Arabidopsis thaliana: one gene and its partners. The protein of the gene in region 1 interacts with the protein of each later gene in a pairwise test. Each region holds a gene or a part of one and is shown on either strand. Other genes may lie near its edges.

Region 1 (4,470 bases):
GACCTGCAATGAATTTTAAAAAAATGGAAGTTTAATCATAGTATTTGACTTTTTTTTTGGGTAGGCTAATCATAGTATTTGACTAGTGATGAAGAAATAATATTGTACCAAATGATATTTAAATTTCAATAATAAAATAATTTTAAGAAAATAAATAGAAGTTTTATATAAAGTGAATTATAAAATGGAAGTTTAATCATAGTATTGACTAGTAAGAAGCAATACAATATTTACCATTTTGTTTTGTATCACTAATTTTTTAAAGCTATTTACTTACCAATCTATAACTAATTTCATAAACAACAAATCGAATAAAATCTGAGCAGGCGCGTCAATAAAATTTGAAAGTTATTAGTGATAAATGATAATATAGAAAACAATATCTTTTGCACCGCATCCCTATAATAACATCAAACAAATCCATAATTTCATAAGCAAACAAACCTAACAAAATATGACTTAACTCCATCCTAATTCAAAACCCTAAATTTTCATTTTACTTTGTTTAAAACTTGGCTAATTTTTGTTCACAAACAAACAAATTTCAAAACCATCACAATATGTATGTTTTATGGTTTGGATTACCCATCCATAAATGCAAACTCAATGCTAATTCCTAGTATCACATGTTAATTACTCTTCACACAGTATAGCACAAGCACTCTTGCAAAGTTGCAATAATTCACTATGGACCATCAATTACGAACATCACTATTACATCAAGCAATAATGAGCTCTGAGCAAAGCTGTGGACAAAAGACAGAGACTTTTCGTTAAACAAGATAAGAACAACAAAGATCAAGATACTCAAGATAAACGAATCAGAACCAAACGACAACGAAATAATGTTCTCAATAGACTAGACAGACATATCACATCAGATATTTTTTTTCAACTTTTCTTACATCGTTTAATAATTAACTAATTAAATCTCTTACAATCACATAGCAATGTCATTACGAATGTGACGGAGGATGACAGGAATAACAGAATCTGGTGAGCTAAGCTGAGGAAGATGACCATCAGAAGGAATAACCTCGACGACGGATTCACAGCCAAGATTGGCGTGAAGATACTCGGAGACAACGACTGGTACAGCTAAGTCCTTAACACTTTGGAGAATGTGACACGGAACAGTGACAAAAGGTAAGATCTGTCTCATGTCACTTTGGAAAATGGTCTGGCCGACGGAGAGAGCTATGTCGGGACGCATATTGAAGAGTGTTCTGCTGAATTCTTGAACGGCGATGGAGTCCATGTCGCCACCGACGGCGAGTGGAGCGAAACCTAAGCACCACGCTTTGTAGTTGCTTCGGATGGCTTCGAATAGTTGGTTTAAGTCTTCTTGTTCGAATCCACCTTGGTAATCAACATCGTTTACGTATCTATAAACGTACCAAAACAATATAATTTGATTATATATGTTTCTTTTGTCAGAAGAAAATTAAAATATATAATATACTGTGTGAGCACCGTTTCAACAATTTTTTTTAAAAAAAGTGTAAGTAACACCTCAGTAAAACCAAATAAAAAAAAACAAATAAACAAATGGGTATTTCATGATTTTTTGTTCATAATTTACGGATTTTTATTGAAATATATAATGAAATGCTTCACTGATTTTGAGAAATAGGATAATTCAGACAAGAGGATAAACAAAGAGGCACTTTGTCGAAATTATGTCAGAATGAGAAATAAATATTTCGAAATAATAGATAATTGTGTAAATTTAAGGACTTAAGATGATTTTTTTTTATTTAAATTGTAATGTTTAATAGTTTTTATGAAATCAGACAAGAGAAGGAACAGAGAAGCCCTTTTGTCTAAACTATGTCAGGATGAGATAAAAAGCAAAACATATTTCTATGTACAACTTGTGAAAAAGTTATACCTCGGAGAAGCAGAGATCATGACGATTTTGGAGAAGAGATCAGGACGGTTAAGAGAAGCCAAGACACCAATCATGGCAGAAACAGAGTGGCCAACAAAGATACAAGACTCAATCTTGAGATCTTCCAAGATTGCAATCAAATCGAAAGAGTAGCCTTCGAGATTTGAGTAACGATCGAAGTCGAAATAGTCAGGGTTGGTCGTACCGGCTCCCATGTTGTCGTAGAGGACGACGCGGTAATCGTCGACCAGATGTGGAACCAAGTGTTTCCATACTGACTGGTCCGTGCCGAACCCGTGACCTAACACGATCGTGGCTTCTCCTGAACCAATCACCTTCACGTTGTGAGCTTCTTCTACCACACCCATCTCTCTAAAGAAGATTCTTCTCTGGTTTTCTTCTTGGTACCTCTCTTAGTCAGTTCGTGGAGAAATTATGATATTTGTGTTGTTTTAGAGTGTTACGTATTATTCTTTATAAAAAAATTCGTATCTGTGGAAGAGGAAATAAATTATTTAAAATATCGCGATTTACAGGTGGCAAAAAAAGGTGAATGGAACCATGTTTGTTGGATTGTCAAACATCGCTATTCGTGATAATTTGTTTTTTGGAATCAAGCCCAAAATATTTTGGAACATTTAATGGAGTACATGACGTGGAGTTACTGACTTCTGTTCAACAATAAAATTGTTACATTGGGTTACAAATACATGAACCAATTATTTTTAATTTTGTGCATGAATTTCAACAATGCATTAATGCGAAAGAAAATTAGTTTCAATCATTCAAAGAGTGGCAGCAAATAGTCAAAAGCTGATATAATTATTATTTTAACAACACTAGTTAAATTTCGCATGTATACAACTTGCAATGAATATAGCATCTAAAAACCTCATAATATTTGTTTTTTTCTGCTTGACTTTAACTTGTCAGTACTTTTCGATCATTTAGAAGTTAGAAGACATTAATTATTCATGGAATGCCATGGTGAGTATACGACCACGTATTCACATCCACTTCCTCATCATTTTAAGAGTCAAAAATATCTGTGAGAGGATCCTGGCCCATTAAAATTCAAGGCCCATTTAGTGTAATATGGCTTCATGTTCTCTCTTTCCTAAGACCGTTTTTACTGTTGACCAATAAAGTCTGAACTCGTGATGACGTGGCGTGAAATCGAGAGACCCACGTGTCATCGGCGTGCCGTTATCCTCTTTCCACTTCCGGTCTCCGTTCCCACCTGAGTAAACCATACTGGTCGTGAAATGACGATTCTCGCCGGGTTGATACGCCGGCGTTTTAGTAGATTAGTTCCGGTTCAACTGAATTACGGTTTCGAACCGTCGCGAATTCTCTTTAACCCGAGTCAAGGAAGAACTCGGTTGCTGAGCGGCGAGGCTGAGTCCAATCGGAACGAGTTTCCGGTGGAGAACGCTTACGATATCTTGAATGTCTCCGAAACCAGCTCAATCGCAGAGATCAAAGCATCATTTCGCAGACTCGCCAAGGAGACTCATCCTGATCTGATCGAATCCAAGAAAGATCCATCAAATTCGAGACGATTCGTTCAGATTCTCGCTGCTTATGAGGTACAATGAAGAAAGCTTCACTCTTCACTCTTATGATTAGTTTCAAAATCGAAAATTTCAAGCTTTTCAAGCTTTTGTGATAGAGTTATAGCTTTAGAAGTGTCTGATGAATGATTTGTGGTGATGATACAGATTCTATCAGATTCTGAAAAGAGAGCACACTATGATAGATATTTGCTATCTCGGAGAATGGTAATGAAGAAGCACTCGGGACAAGGTTATATGATTCACAGGTATAAAACAGGATTGACATTGAGTCAAGAGATGGAAGTAGTTGAATGGTTAAAGTGGTATAGAGAAGCAATACATGATATAGTATTGGAGAAGAGAGTAGCAAATGGTACTGGTTACTTAGATGAACTTGAAGAAGATTTTTATTCAGCTATACGAGCGGCCTACTTTGGGCCTGATGTTGAATCTGTTGAGCTTCTTCCTGATTGTTTTGAAGCTGAGGAAAGGTCTGTGTATGATACACGAGAGGTTTTGCATTTGGTATCAGGACGGGATCTTTTTGGTATGGTTTCCTTGGTTGATAACTTCCTTGAGCTTTCTTCTGCTTGCTCAAAGAAATTGGCTTTGTCGTCGTTTATGGATTCGGACCTTGGTCAAGCAGTTGAGAAAGGCAACAATGACATGATGTCTGCTGAAAGGATTGGTCTTCAGATATCTCATATACAATCTTCAAGAAGTAAAAACCATGTTTCTGATGCGTATAAAGATATTCAGCTGCATGTATCTGGAAGAGTTGTTGCTACAGCCATTAGGGTTCCCCCAAAAGGGTATCATGAAAAGAAACAAATTGAGGGTGATCACGATCTTATACACGTTTTCCTCAATTCAGATGAAGGATCTAATCATGGCACTGAATCGCCTCCGGGAAATGAAAGTGGTGCCAGACTTCTTGTTGGAACTATAAGTGGTCTTGGGACAATCCCAGATGAAGGTTCATGTTATGTCTATGATGGGAATGGTGCTAAGACTCATGTGATA
Region 2 (5,169 bases), on another chromosome or scaffold:
CCTAAAAGAACATCTTTCTAATAATTATTCAACAGAAGTCGATATAGGCCACGTCTTTCACTGCGATGGCTTATTGCTATGCACCACCAAGGACTATAGACTGGTGGTTTGGAATCCGCTTTCAGGTGAAACAAGGTGGATTCAACCAAGATTTTGCTACAAGAAAGATGACTGCTATGCTCTCGGTAGATCCTCTTGCAACAAGTACAAAATCTTGAGGCAGGGTCGTCTTATCAATCCTAGCGAAGAACGTTACGTGTACAACATCGTGGGGGAGGATCTTGTTATCAACAATAGCCAAGAACGTTACGAGTACGAAATCTATGACTTTAACTCTAATTCGTGGAGGAGTATTGGTGTGATCACCGGCTTGTTCAATCCAAATATCACCAGTGGCGTGTCTGTAAATGGAATCACTTACTGGTTTGATATTAGTGAACAATTCTTACTAAGTTTTGATTTCTCAACAGAGAGATTTGGAAGTGAGTCTCTCCCAGAGGGTGATAGTCATTTGGCTTTATCAGTGACTAGACAAGGGAAACGACTTTGTATGTTATCTACTAATTACACATACGTAACCGGAACAAACGTTAACTTATGGATAGCAACGAAGACTAGTGAGAACACCAGAGCAATGTCATGGAGCAAGTTCCCAATACTGCGGGGCGGAGTTGGTCTACGCTATCGTTGTCATTTTAGGGAAGGGGTGAGTTTCTTCGCATACCAAGTTAAGGAGAAGATTGTTGTAGTTTCTTGTCATAGACCCAACCGGCACTCCAAGGACATCATACACATTGTGGAAAATGATAAATTCATAGAATTGGATCATCATGGTGCAAAACCTACACATGAATTATCTCCTACCCCACGTCTCCTCATATATGTTCCAAGTTTGGTTCAAATTCAACATGGTATTTAGTTCTTTGGAGGAGGCACCAAGTCAGCCAGTGCATGGCCTTGTAATTGTCACACTAGTCTATGCATTATCTAATCTAACTCTTGATATTTTATAAGTAAGATATATGTACGCATTTCTAAGTTATAACTTGTTGCTACCCTTTTGCTAGTGGATAATTCGAGGCACATGGCATTTTCATAATTGGTCAATTAGTTATTAAGTACCAAAATTTTGAAAAGGAAAAAAATTAGAAATGCTTAGAACATATTAGAGCAAAACATATGTAAATTTTGTGCAAGAATAAGGGAAAAGCAAATAAAATCAAAATAAAATTGTATATTGTGGAATTAAGAAATGAAAGAGGAACGCAATTTAGTTTTAAAATCTGACATATTAGATATAGTTGAGTCAATTGTTTTCCACCGAAGAATTGGTTGTGGTTCCATCTAACTTAAGATATTTTGTGTTAAGATGGTTTATTTGTAGAGATATATTATAATTATATATGATTTCTAACCAAAACAACAAGAAGTTTTTAAAGATGGGTACAAATTGAATTAACTAATGTAATTCCACATTGTCATTTGGTAAAAGAAAGATATCTTGACAAAAGAGATTAAAAGAATTATGTGAAAAACCTTGGCGACCTTAAACCATCTCCAATGTCTTTATATCTTTGGCATCATTAAGAGTAAATGTGTATCTTGATCAAACCTGAAACCACTAAAGAAAAACATATGAACTCAAATAGAGGCCAATTAAAGATGAGGTCCAAAGAATAGGGAGTGTCAAGCCTTTCACAAAGACGACGCCGTTTGGCTAAAAAAGGCCCAAGATCACAACGACGACGTTTGCTGAAGAAAAATGAAAAATCTTTCACTACAATCATTAGACCAAAAAAGAAAAAAAAAATCAAAGGAGCTTCCTTTTTTCGCTCTCGTCTCCGTTTACCCTTTTGGGATTTTTCCCTAAACCTTTTTCTCTCTTTGTATAATCAAATCCTCTTTATCTTTCATTGTTTCGCGTGAATTAGCTCTGCAAAGGCTCTTCATTCTTCTCGCTTGGATTCCTCTGCACAAAAGGTACCCATTTGATGTCAATTTTGGTTTATTGTTTTGATTGCCCTGTCCAAGTGACAAGTCTTTGTATGTATGATATAGGTAGTGGGTTCTAGTTTGTAGATGAACTTGTCGAATTTGGAGGGTTTTTAGTTGGAAGCATTTATATGTGGGATTTGGAATTGTTCTGTCTATTTGTTCTTAGCTTAAAGGTTGGGACTTAGCTTAGGACTTATGAGCATGAGAGAAGGAGACTTTTTTTCCAATTCGAATCTGATTGATGAAACTTTTTTTACTGGATTTGGGTAGATATTGTTACGTTTTAAGGTAGTTGACTGTTGTTAGTTGTTGTTTACTCGAGATTAGATTATTGTCATCTACTCTTGTTATAAAAGAAGCTCCTTTGTACTATATCAGTGCTGATAACTATTAATGAAGTTCCTTTCCCTTAGGTGGAGATAGTTTCTTTGTATTTGCAAACTCAATTTATGTGAGAATATATCCACCATTATTGAGTTTCTTCAACCTATACCGTCTCTGACAATCTCGCTTTTTCGTTATTAAGAACGTTCCAGTCTTAATTAATGTTATCTTCCTTTGGATGTAATTGGTAACAAATTGCAGAAAAAAGACCATGGATGATCTTCATGGAAGAAATGGTCGAATGCACATTGGTGTAGCGCAAAATCCAATGCATGTGCAGTATGAAGATCACGGTTTGCACCATATCGACAATGAAAACAGTATGATGGATGACCATGCTGATGGTGGGATGGATGAAGGAGTGGAGACAGACATTCCTTCTCACCCTGGAAACTCAGCTGATAATCGTGGTGAAGTTGTAGACCGTGGAATTGAAAATGGAGATCAATTGACATTGTCCTTCCAGGGACAAGTTTATGTTTTTGACCGTGTCTCGCCTGAGAAGGTAACTTTAAGTTAATTTTGGTTCTTTGATGTTTTAGTTTTGGATACATATGGTCAACGTATCCACCTGGTTGGTTTTGTTTTTCGCTTATTGAAGTGCTGCTCAATATTATGCAGGTTCAAGCTGTGCTTTTGTTACTTGGTGGAAGGGAAGTACCACATACACTCCCAACAACCCTAGGATCACCTCATCAGAACAATAGGGTACTGGTAATAAAAGATTTAATACCATATGGGAAATCAGTTTATTCCCCAGTTTGTTGCTGACTAATAAATGAACCAGGGTCTATCTGGTACTCCTCAACGGCTTAGCGTTCCGCAGCGGTTAGCTTCTTTGCTCAGGTTTAGGGAGAAACGAAAAGGGAGGAACTTTGATAAGACTATTCGCTATACAGTCAGGAAAGAAGTAGCCTTGAGGTACGTTTATGTCAAGTACTAGCTTTTGTGTATGTCGAGCTTTTGAGATACGTCTGTTTTGCAATTAAGGTTTTGTTTGTTCATGCAGAATGCAGCGTAAGAAAGGTCAGTTCACGTCGGCTAAATCAAGCAATGATGATTCTGGATCCACTGGATCGGATTGGGGGTCAAACCAGAGCTGGGCCGTAGAAGGGACTGAGACTCAGAAGCCAGAGGTTTTGTAAGTTGAAAATGCTTTAAATTTCTTACAACAGTTATATTAACTTTAGTGAACTCGTTATAAAACCTCAATTAAGTCTAATACATGGAAACAATTTATTTGGTAACCATTTAATGACGCTCTTTTCACTTCCATAAACTTTGTCTATATACGTCAACTCTGAAATTTATAGTTATACTTATCATGATGGCATCACTCATTCGATACCTGCAACTGATAACTTATACTTGTGAGAGGATAAAAATAACTGAACCGACTATGTTGTTGCATGTTAAGTCATTGTAGTTGATATGAACTTATTTATAGCTTGGTATACTTGGAAAGCTTGTCTCTGTTCTTATTCTTCGTCAAATGGTTGTGAACATGTTAAGATGTCGACACTGTGGAACAAGTGAGAAGTCAACTCCAATGATGCGACGTGGACCTGATGGGCCAAGAACACTTTGTAATGCGTGTGGACTGATGTGGGCAAACAAGGTAAGCTAAGAGTTTCTTAGTTCACATTGATCACCTCGTCTCGTATCACTTTTTTGACTCATTGATCAGGCCTATATATCCGAGTATGAACCTAACAATAACATTCCCTTTGACTTTATAATATCAGGGGACTCTTAGAGACCTATCCAAAGTCCCTCCTCCGCAAACACCTCAGCATCTATCTCTGAATAAGAATGAGGTGAGCCGTGAGCGCAGTATTTCATAGAGCTGGAGTTTTGATTTGCTTATTAAGAGAACATACATTCATTTTTTTTTTCTCAATCACTTTTGTTGCAGGACGCAAATCTTGAGGCTGATCAAATGATGGAAGTAACTGGTGACATTAGCAACACACAGTGAGAACTGAGAAACCATTGGAAGCAAGAAAGGATCTCAAACAAAAACAGTTGTTATCATTTCATTTGATGATGGAATCGAATCTGAGTTGTGTTTAGGGTTTCTCTGGGTTAATCTCAGTCTATGTGGGCACATTTTAGTCTTCTACAAATTATAAGACACTCTTCACTTATTTAGAAGCTCACTCATCAGAAAAGAAAAAAAAAACTTTGCTCAGTCTCTCATCTGTGTGTTTGATTATATTTTCAGGCAGAAAACTTTTTTTTGTTCTTGTATTTGATTACAATTAGTTAAATATTTAAGACTTAGTAGAGATAATGCAATCTATGTATAAAAATAGAAACAATGATTGGTTATGTCGTGCAACCCAAGTGACCTTAATGTCGTACACACGTTCATCAGGTTAAAACGAAATTTCTCAGCAACTTCACTATTCTCTCTGTCACATTGTTTTATTCTTTTCCATTATCTTTATTGGAAACTTGATTAGAAAGAACTGATTAAGGTATGAAGATAATTAGTGTACCATTCTTCACATGATACGAGGTGAACAATAGTATATCAGAATACTAGAATAATTTTATAAGTTATAAAGATGAATGGTATACCACTTATTACAAAACGAAAACATAGTTAGATCTGAGAAGAAGGAAAGATTTTTGTTTTAAAAAATGAGATGGTTAGATATATGCCATGTTAAGAGATGCCACCATGTTCTTCTTCTTCTTCTTACCCGGAAAAAACTCTTTCTTCTTCTCTTTCCCATAAAAAGAAACAAAAAAAAACTAACTTCCCACAAATTTTGCCAAACCAAA
Region 3 (3,567 bases), on another chromosome or scaffold:
ACACCTTATCTTGATGTATATGATTAGTTATAACTAGAAAAGAAAACAAAACAAAGTTGAATATTATATCTAAGAATATATATTACCCATTAAGAAATAAATGAAAGAGAGAATAAAATCCACAGCATTATATAAATATTGTAGCCCTGGGAGTTCGGATATATCGGTTTAATCGGTTCGGTTTATTTAGTTTTTCGGGGTTTTTGGATTTTTTAATTTCTAGCCGAATTGAACCGAACAAAAATTCGGTTCGGGTCGGTTCGGACATCGGTTTTTTCGGTTCGGTTATTGGGTATAAATTAAATTCCGGATTAAACCGATTTTTTTTCTAATTCGGTTAATTTGAACCAAATAAACCACAAATTAAAAAAATGGACTTACAAAAATGAAATCTAATAAAAAACAAACAACAGGCCCAATACACAAATATACAGTTACAATTACAAATCCACAACACAATTATGGGTCAGGTCCATTACAAAATTAGGGTTTTGAGTTTTGACAAAAAAAATATGTACGACTACAACTCCAAACTGCGACGTCGAGCAGTGCCTCTCCAATCTAGTGATCTACCATTCCGACGACGTAATGCCCTACGAGACCTGTTAAACGCCCGTTTGTTATCCATGAAGTAAGAAAAAACATGAGATGGAAGTGTAAACCATAAAAGATCCATAAAAATAATGGATAATCTCAGATTTGGAAGTGTAAAGCCTAACTCTAAAATTTCAGAAATTATAGAGACAGAGGAAGAGCTTAGAGAGCAAAGAATCAAACAAAACAAATGATTAAAGAGAAATAAGAAGAGTTTACCCTAAGAAAGTTGAGGTTGTGGGTTGAATCTCTGAGCAAAGGTTTTTTGTAAGACCAACTGAGATTAGAGAGAATGAAAGAGGCTTGGAAGATGATGAATTCATGAAGGAGAAGAGACGAGTTGATGATTACTAATTCAATCGAAGAAAAATATCAAAGTTTCTTTGTTGTTTTCGCAAGAGGCAGAGAGCCAAAAACGAAGAAGAAACCTAATTAGGTTAAGACTCATCAATTAACCTTATATATGGCTGCAGATTCTCGGTATGGGTGAAACCGATTGGTTCCGATTACCGAACCGACCCGAACCGACTTCCGAATTCTTAAATTAATTTGGCCGATCGGTTCGATCTCCTTAATTCGGTTGCTGCCGAAAACCAAAATTTTCGTTTTTTTCGGTTCGGTTTTCTCGGGTTGAACCGTTATCCCAGGCCTAAAATATTGTATGACTCTTGACCAAAAACTAGTTAGATATATTATTTATTATGACATATTAATATTAACTTAATATAAAATAAAAATAAATGTTCAAAAAACATGATCTTAAAGCTGACAAAGCTGATTTGATTGACTAATACTTATCCTACGGTGATTTTTGGTTCTTTTACTTTTTTTGACAATTATGGAGCTGGATGGAAAAAAAATATATATAAAATCATATATTATTAATAATGAGATAAATACAACGAATTAAACGGATCAAAGTTAATATTTCCAAAAGAAAAATAGAACAGAGTCCTAATTTCATTAATTTCAACTATTGAAAACAAAATTTAAAATCAATAGGATTGATTTCTATTTTTCTTTTAGAAAAACAAAATTTGAAACAATTTCCTAATTTCCCTAAACTTGCGACTTTTTAACAATCGACCGACTTATCAAAATTAGGGATTGTTTTATATATAAAGAGAGACGCATCTCTTTATTTCATTCATCGCTTCTCCAAAATTTTCTTCAAAGAACAAATCTCCCAAATCTAAAATCTTTCTCTTCTCTCTTCGTTTCCATAACCATGTCTGCGAAGAAGATTGTGTTGAAGAGTTCCGATGGTGAATCTTTCGAGGTTGAGGAGGCGGTGGCTCTCGAGTCACAAACCATAGCGCATATGGTTGAAGACGACTGCGTCGACAACGGAGTCCCTCTTCCTAACGTCACGAGCAAGATCCTCGCCAAGGTGATCGAGTATTGCAAGAGGCACGTCGAGGCTGCTGCCTCTAAGGCCGAGGCCGTCGAGGGTGCTGCTACCTCCGATGACGATCTTAAGGCCTGGGACGCTGATTTTATGAAGATCGATCAAGCTACTCTCTTTGAACTCATTCTGGTATGTTTCTTCTCTCGATCTGATTTGATTTTTCCATCGAATTTTGAATTTTGGGATTCTAGGGTTTTCGATTTGGGAAAATTAGGGTTTCGAAATTTAGGTGTTTGTTTCAGAAATTGAATCTGCTTGAGATTGATATTGTTAGGGTTCTTATGGAACCAATCATTAATTGAATCTATCGATTTGGATTATAATCATATCTGTGTTTTTGGATTCGGATTTTGATCTAATGGTTATGAATTTGGGATCTTGTGCAGGCTGCTAATTACCTGAATATCAAGAACTTGCTTGATCTAACATGTCAGACAGTTGCGGATATGATCAAAGGAAAGACTCCAGAAGAGATCCGCACAACGTTCAACATTAAGAACGACTTCACACCAGAGGAAGAGGAAGAGGTTCGCAGAGAGAACCAATGGGCTTTTGAATGATTGATCTTCAGAGAGAAGAATCAAAAGCAGCAAGCAACCAGTTTCTTCTTCCTTATGTTTATTGCCGTTTTCAAGTGTTGTTGATGACTTGCTTTTTAATATTCTTCATGAATCATGACTATCTTCTTCCTCTTCTTTCTTTCTTATCAAGAACCAATGTTTCTTACTCTTTGTGGGATGGATAATTTGTGCTTTTAGATAATCTTCAAGAGTGATGTTGGTTTGTCTTACAAAATAACTTCTTTCAATTGTCTTGCCAATCGCCACAGAATGCTAATTTGCACGATTCATTTTAGGAATGTTCATGTGTAAATAAAAAGAAACTGAATTTGGCAGAGTCTGCAAGCAGAATGTGAAGGATCATGACGACTACTCATTGAAACCAATGGTCACCAGTTATGCCCTGCTCCTGCTCATCTACTTACATAAATATCTGCATCACGTATTTGTATCTTGTCAACATCTTCTCAAATACTAACATAATCAGCATCACCCATTCGTCAACATTCGATAACATGTGGGCTTTGTTTGCATATAAGAAAACAAAGTTTCCACTCAACCGAACGTGGATCACATGTACATCAATATAATTACTTTAATTGTTTGTCTGGCTAGTCAAGTGGTCTCTCGTCTCGTCATTGTGTATCTTATCTTTACTATGAGACTGAAAGAGATATCTTCTTTATATACAGTAACACTCACATTGTGGTCACTCGAAAAGAGCTAAAGAAAATGGAAGATTTGAAGCCAAGTGCCGCTAACTCGTTACCATTGACACTGTTAGGCTTTCTTGAGAGAGCAGCCACCGTGTATGGAGACTGTACCTCCATCGTTTACGGCAATTCCACCGTGTACACATGGCGAGAAACGAATCACCGTTGCCTCTGCGTCGCGTCTGCTCTGTCTTCCATTGGAATAGGAAGATCCGACGTTGTCTCTGTCCTATCTGCTAATACTCCGGAAATGTACGAGCTCCAGTTTTCCGTTCCGATGTCTGGCGCGATC
Region 4 (3,911 bases), on another chromosome or scaffold:
TTGTTATCAATGTTCCATCCCTATGACTTTCAGATGCACTTAAAAAGGAGCAAATTATATAAACATGTGGAATAATTAAAGAATCATTAAAAAAACAAAATCGAAGGTGGTTCTTAGGAAATTAGATTCAGATCACCAAGTAACCAGTATGGCCTCCAGTTTAAGCCAATCCCAAAACAAAAACACTAGTTTATTTTTACAGAATCTAACAATAGCATAAAATGTTACCCAAAGACTAGCACATCCTTAATAATTATGTTGTCATATCTACGATGAATTTCATGACGGTTAGAAATGATCGGATCATATGTGATCTATAACATTATTCCTCTTCTTTTTTATTTGTTTTGGTTGTTATCATCAATCACAAGCCTCGTTTGGTTCCGCTAGTACTCTAATTTCTTTTCTTTAAAACTTAATAAGAAAAGATGTGATGAACTGATGATAGAAGAAAAGATGTGATGATAGAAGAAAAGTAATTTTCGTTACTTATATGCATGTATACTAGTCTAGTGTGAAACACAGGGAAACCAATATATTGATTGGATAATACTTCCATCTTTATTACTTATGCTAGCGAGCGGATACAAACAACACACAATATAGTTACCTTAAGAGACATCAACCACACAATATAACTTCTAATCTCTTACAAATTTTATAAGTTCTAGTATTTTCGACTTCACTTTATTATTCGATACGAAATTCTTAACCAGACGACATTAATGAAAAACCCTCATAAACTAGTAGTGTCTTCAACATGAGAGATTGGTTCCAGGAGTGACCCCAAGCTTCTTGCAGAAGTCCAAGTAATGGTTAACCCTGCTCTGCACTGCAGCTGGACGCCCACCATTACATTCACCACCGTTGATCCTCCTCGTGGTTGCACCAAACCCTTGGCTCAAAACCGGACGCACATTCTTGTTCCAAAACCACATGGCACACTGGAAAGCCACAGTTGGGCTACGAGCCACCATATCTGGGTCCTTCAAGAGAGGAAGTCCAAGGAACTTTCCGGCTGCACCATAGTTGTAGTTCCATGTGATTTGGATCGGACCGCGACCATAGTAGTTCTTTCCGGGTTGACAAGGATATGTTGTGCTTGGTGAGCAGTACCTTCCTCTGGCTATTTCTTCTTTGTAACAAAAACCTTTACATAACCAAACAGATAAACTTTATTTTAAACTTGTTTTAGACACATTCTTGGAACACATTTTGGTAATATATATAGCTAGCAAATCCTTATTTCTTATGAGGAAAATATTCCTGTCTCTATATTTTTCTTCAATTATCAAAATAAAGTTTTTAATGCAAACTGATAAATCAGATATTTATATAAATTTTTAAACATGATAATACTTTAATAATTCCTTTTTAGACATTTTCTGATACATAAAAAGAATAATAGAATGTAGTAAACGGTGAACTTACTTCCAGATTCGTGAGAGAACTGAGCCAACATGGCGGCAATCTCACGCTTAGCAACAGTTCCTTTGTAGGCTGCGAACGATTCAGCGGCTGCGATGAAAGCCTGGCGAGTGTAAAACCCTTTCGCTGGGCAACCGCTTCCGACTTTACTCATGATGCTGTTGAAGAACGCTGGTGTGATAACGCTTGCTATGGTACCACGAGGACCAGCATTTAGACCGCCACTACCGCTTGGAGTCGGAGTAGGTTTAGGTTTAGAGTTGCAAGGTCCACTCTGGCACCCAGTGCCACAGTAGGCTTTTGTGGTACCACAATATCCCCACCTGCTGCAGCACATGTTGCCTTTACACCCGTTTGTACCACAGTTTTGTGAAAACGCGGTTCCTGTCATGATGGTTAGAGTAAAGAGGAAAATGATGAGAGCTTTTTTCAGAATCGCATTTTGTGTCGCCATTTTTTTCCTTTGATGGAATGTTTTGAGGGGAGAGTTGTGTGAAGAAACTAGGAGGATATGTGGCCGTATTTATGGTGTAATATTGATAATACAAAATTATGTTTGGTCAAATCTTAGTTAATGTTTTATAAGAAAGTCATGACCCATTTCCTTTTCTTGTAGTTGTGATTAAGGAGAAATACTATGATGATTTGATTATGGACTTGGTCATAACGTTTATACTTTATAGCTGAATTAGACTAAGACGAAAACGAATTTAATAAAATCATTTTCAAGATAATATTTTTTAGAAGAAAAAACAAGTCGGATTGGGTCGGTTTAAATTCATAAACATCCTATTAGAGCGACTAAAATCTTGTAACATTGAAATAATTATATTTCGAGATGGCTAATTAAAGAACAATGAAAATAACCACGACGTACGTAGTTTAGCATCAAATAATTCAGGTGAAGAATACTAGAATTTGTACATTGTACGTCATTAACATAAAAATAACTATAATACGTAATATGTTGCTTAACAGTGTATATTTCACATTATACTATATGTTGCTTTGTTTTCTTGTTGTAGGATTTCATGAGAGTCGTCCGTATATAAACTTGACCATGTACTATTATTTCCATGTCGTGTAATCTCTATCTAAATAGTAAAGACACGAAAATAGTTTTTTTTTAAACGTCTCTATCTAAATAGTAAATACATGAAATAGTTTAAGACCCATTAATCAATTTTTGTACATATGATATTAATTATATCCAGAAAGTAAGATTTTGTTGAAAAGACTTTTTCAACGACGAGTGAAACATTTAACCACAAGATGTGCTGGTCAACTTAACTTTAGAAATTCGCTAAAAAAATTTTATAAAATAGTTTGAAAACCATTCTCAACTGGACAAATTCTAAACCGTCGAACTATCCAATAGTTTCTGATTGGTGTCTCTTAGGAATACTAATTAGCGCGGAGATCGTTCAGTTCAACATGATTAAAATACTTTCTAACATGATTGCTGAATATATATTGTTGCTTACTTTTTTTTTGGGGTTAAATTTTGCAGACTCACGCATTCATCAATATTGCTTGCTTATACTACACTCAAAAAATAAAGGTATGTGATACGATTTTTTTTTTCAAACCTATTTGATACAATTGATTTCAAATTAAAGCCCATAAATCCGTATTAAGATATGCAGCTGTTATATATATAACAATCTTTTCAAGGAACTTGCGGTGGTCTGGAAATGATAATCTTAAGTTTTCTCACGTAAAAAGAGTTTAGTTAACATTGCAAACTAATAGTAGTAGAATTATCATTAATGAAATGTTGTGTTGACTAAAACGTTAATAAAAAAGGGGTTCGCGAGTCACGACAAATAAAGAGGTTTTACTTAAGCGCTAATTAAGGATCCTTGAATGCGTTGACGTGGCCCTATCCATTCAAATTTCAAAGTCAACTCAAGCATGTCACATGCTCATGGCCTCATGTGAAGGAACTCTTTGTTTTTTCAAGATGTAAGAAGTTAGTTAATAGTAATACTAATTGTTTTTAACAGCCATGTGGTTGTTTTCAAGATGTGTTTGTTTGATTCGTAATCTTAAATTATAACATTTAGGATGATTCCACGATACACAGATCAAATCTAATCTTGACTATCGCAATACTTTAACTCAAATCGGATTTGATCTTGAGTGAGCTTATGTTTTTACTTATTTTATTCAGTAGCCGCTATTTTTCATGTGCTAATTGGTATTGTTTTTTATCTAAAACTATTTCCAATTTTTCTGTATAAAAAATGTTTAATTTTATAATTTGAACCAGATGTTAATCAAATTTTTTTTTTCCGCTATACTAGTAACTTTAAAGGTATTTTAAAAAGTGGTCTGAACCATGCCTTCAAGATCAATGTTTACGTCAAACTTAACTAACTACAGACTATAAACGAAACGTTAGTTCTATTTTTCGGCTAGCTCGCTTTCGCATCATCATAAAACTCTTCATATATATATGAGATATTGTATACATTATTAAT

The links.
Region 2: the proteins of KAI2 (region 1) and ZML1 interact in binary tests that used the Arabidopsis thaliana proteins (3 or more experiments, as listed by UniProt).
Region 3: the proteins of KAI2 (region 1) and SKP1 interact in binary tests that used the Arabidopsis thaliana proteins (3 or more experiments, as listed by UniProt).
Region 4: the proteins of KAI2 (region 1) and AT2G43610 interact in binary tests that used the Arabidopsis thaliana proteins (3 or more experiments, as listed by UniProt).

Annotation. Positions count from the first base shown.
Region 1 is NC_003075.7:17,616,105-17,620,574, forward strand, and holds KAI2 (alpha/beta-Hydrolases superfamily protein), read right to left. Parts: upstream 2,553-4,470; 5' UTR 2,260-2,552; coding exon 1,892-2,259; intron 1,386-1,891; coding exon 941-1,385; 3' UTR 555-940; downstream 1-554. Other genes in the region: AT4G37480 (Chaperone DnaJ-domain superfamily protein), read left to right, coding at 3,157-3,480, 3,613-4,470.
Region 2 is NC_003074.8:7,420,242-7,425,410, forward strand, and holds ZML1 (ZIM-like 1), read left to right. Parts: upstream 1-1,794; 5' UTR 1,795-1,980; intron 1,981-2,580; 5' UTR 2,581-2,590; coding exon 2,591-2,884; intron 2,885-3,000; coding exon 3,001-3,093; intron 3,094-3,166; coding exon 3,167-3,300; intron 3,301-3,388; coding exon 3,389-3,520; coding exon of another isoform or gene 3,521-3,524; exon of another isoform or gene 3,525-3,891; coding exon 3,892-3,997; intron 3,998-4,124; coding exon 4,125-4,196; intron 4,197-4,294; coding exon 4,295-4,357; 3' UTR 4,358-4,664; downstream 4,665-5,169. Other genes in the region: AT3G21170 (F-box/associated interaction domain protein), read left to right, coding at 1-919. UniProt on the Arabidopsis thaliana protein: Transcriptional activator that specifically binds 5'-GATA-3' or 5'-GAT-3' motifs within gene promoters.
Region 3 is NC_003070.9:28,514,893-28,518,459, forward strand, and holds SKP1 (S phase kinase-associated protein 1), read left to right. Parts: upstream 1-1,626; 5' UTR 1,627-1,822; coding exon 1,823-2,131; intron 2,132-2,388; coding exon 2,389-2,562; 3' UTR 2,563-3,004; downstream 3,005-3,567. Other genes in the region: AT1G75945 (uncharacterized protein), read right to left, coding at 521-602, 814-917; AT1G75960 (AMP-dependent synthetase and ligase family protein), read left to right, coding at 3,295-3,567. UniProt on the Arabidopsis thaliana protein: Involved in ubiquitination and subsequent proteasomal degradation of target proteins. Together with CUL1, RBX1 and a F-box protein, it forms a SCF E3 ubiquitin ligase complex. The functional specificity of this complex depends on the type of F-box protein.
Region 4 is NC_003071.7:18,087,303-18,091,213, forward strand, and holds AT2G43610 (Chitinase family protein), read right to left. Parts: upstream 2,070-3,911; 5' UTR 1,883-2,069; coding exon 1,432-1,882; intron 1,151-1,431; coding exon 756-1,150; 3' UTR 510-755; downstream 1-509.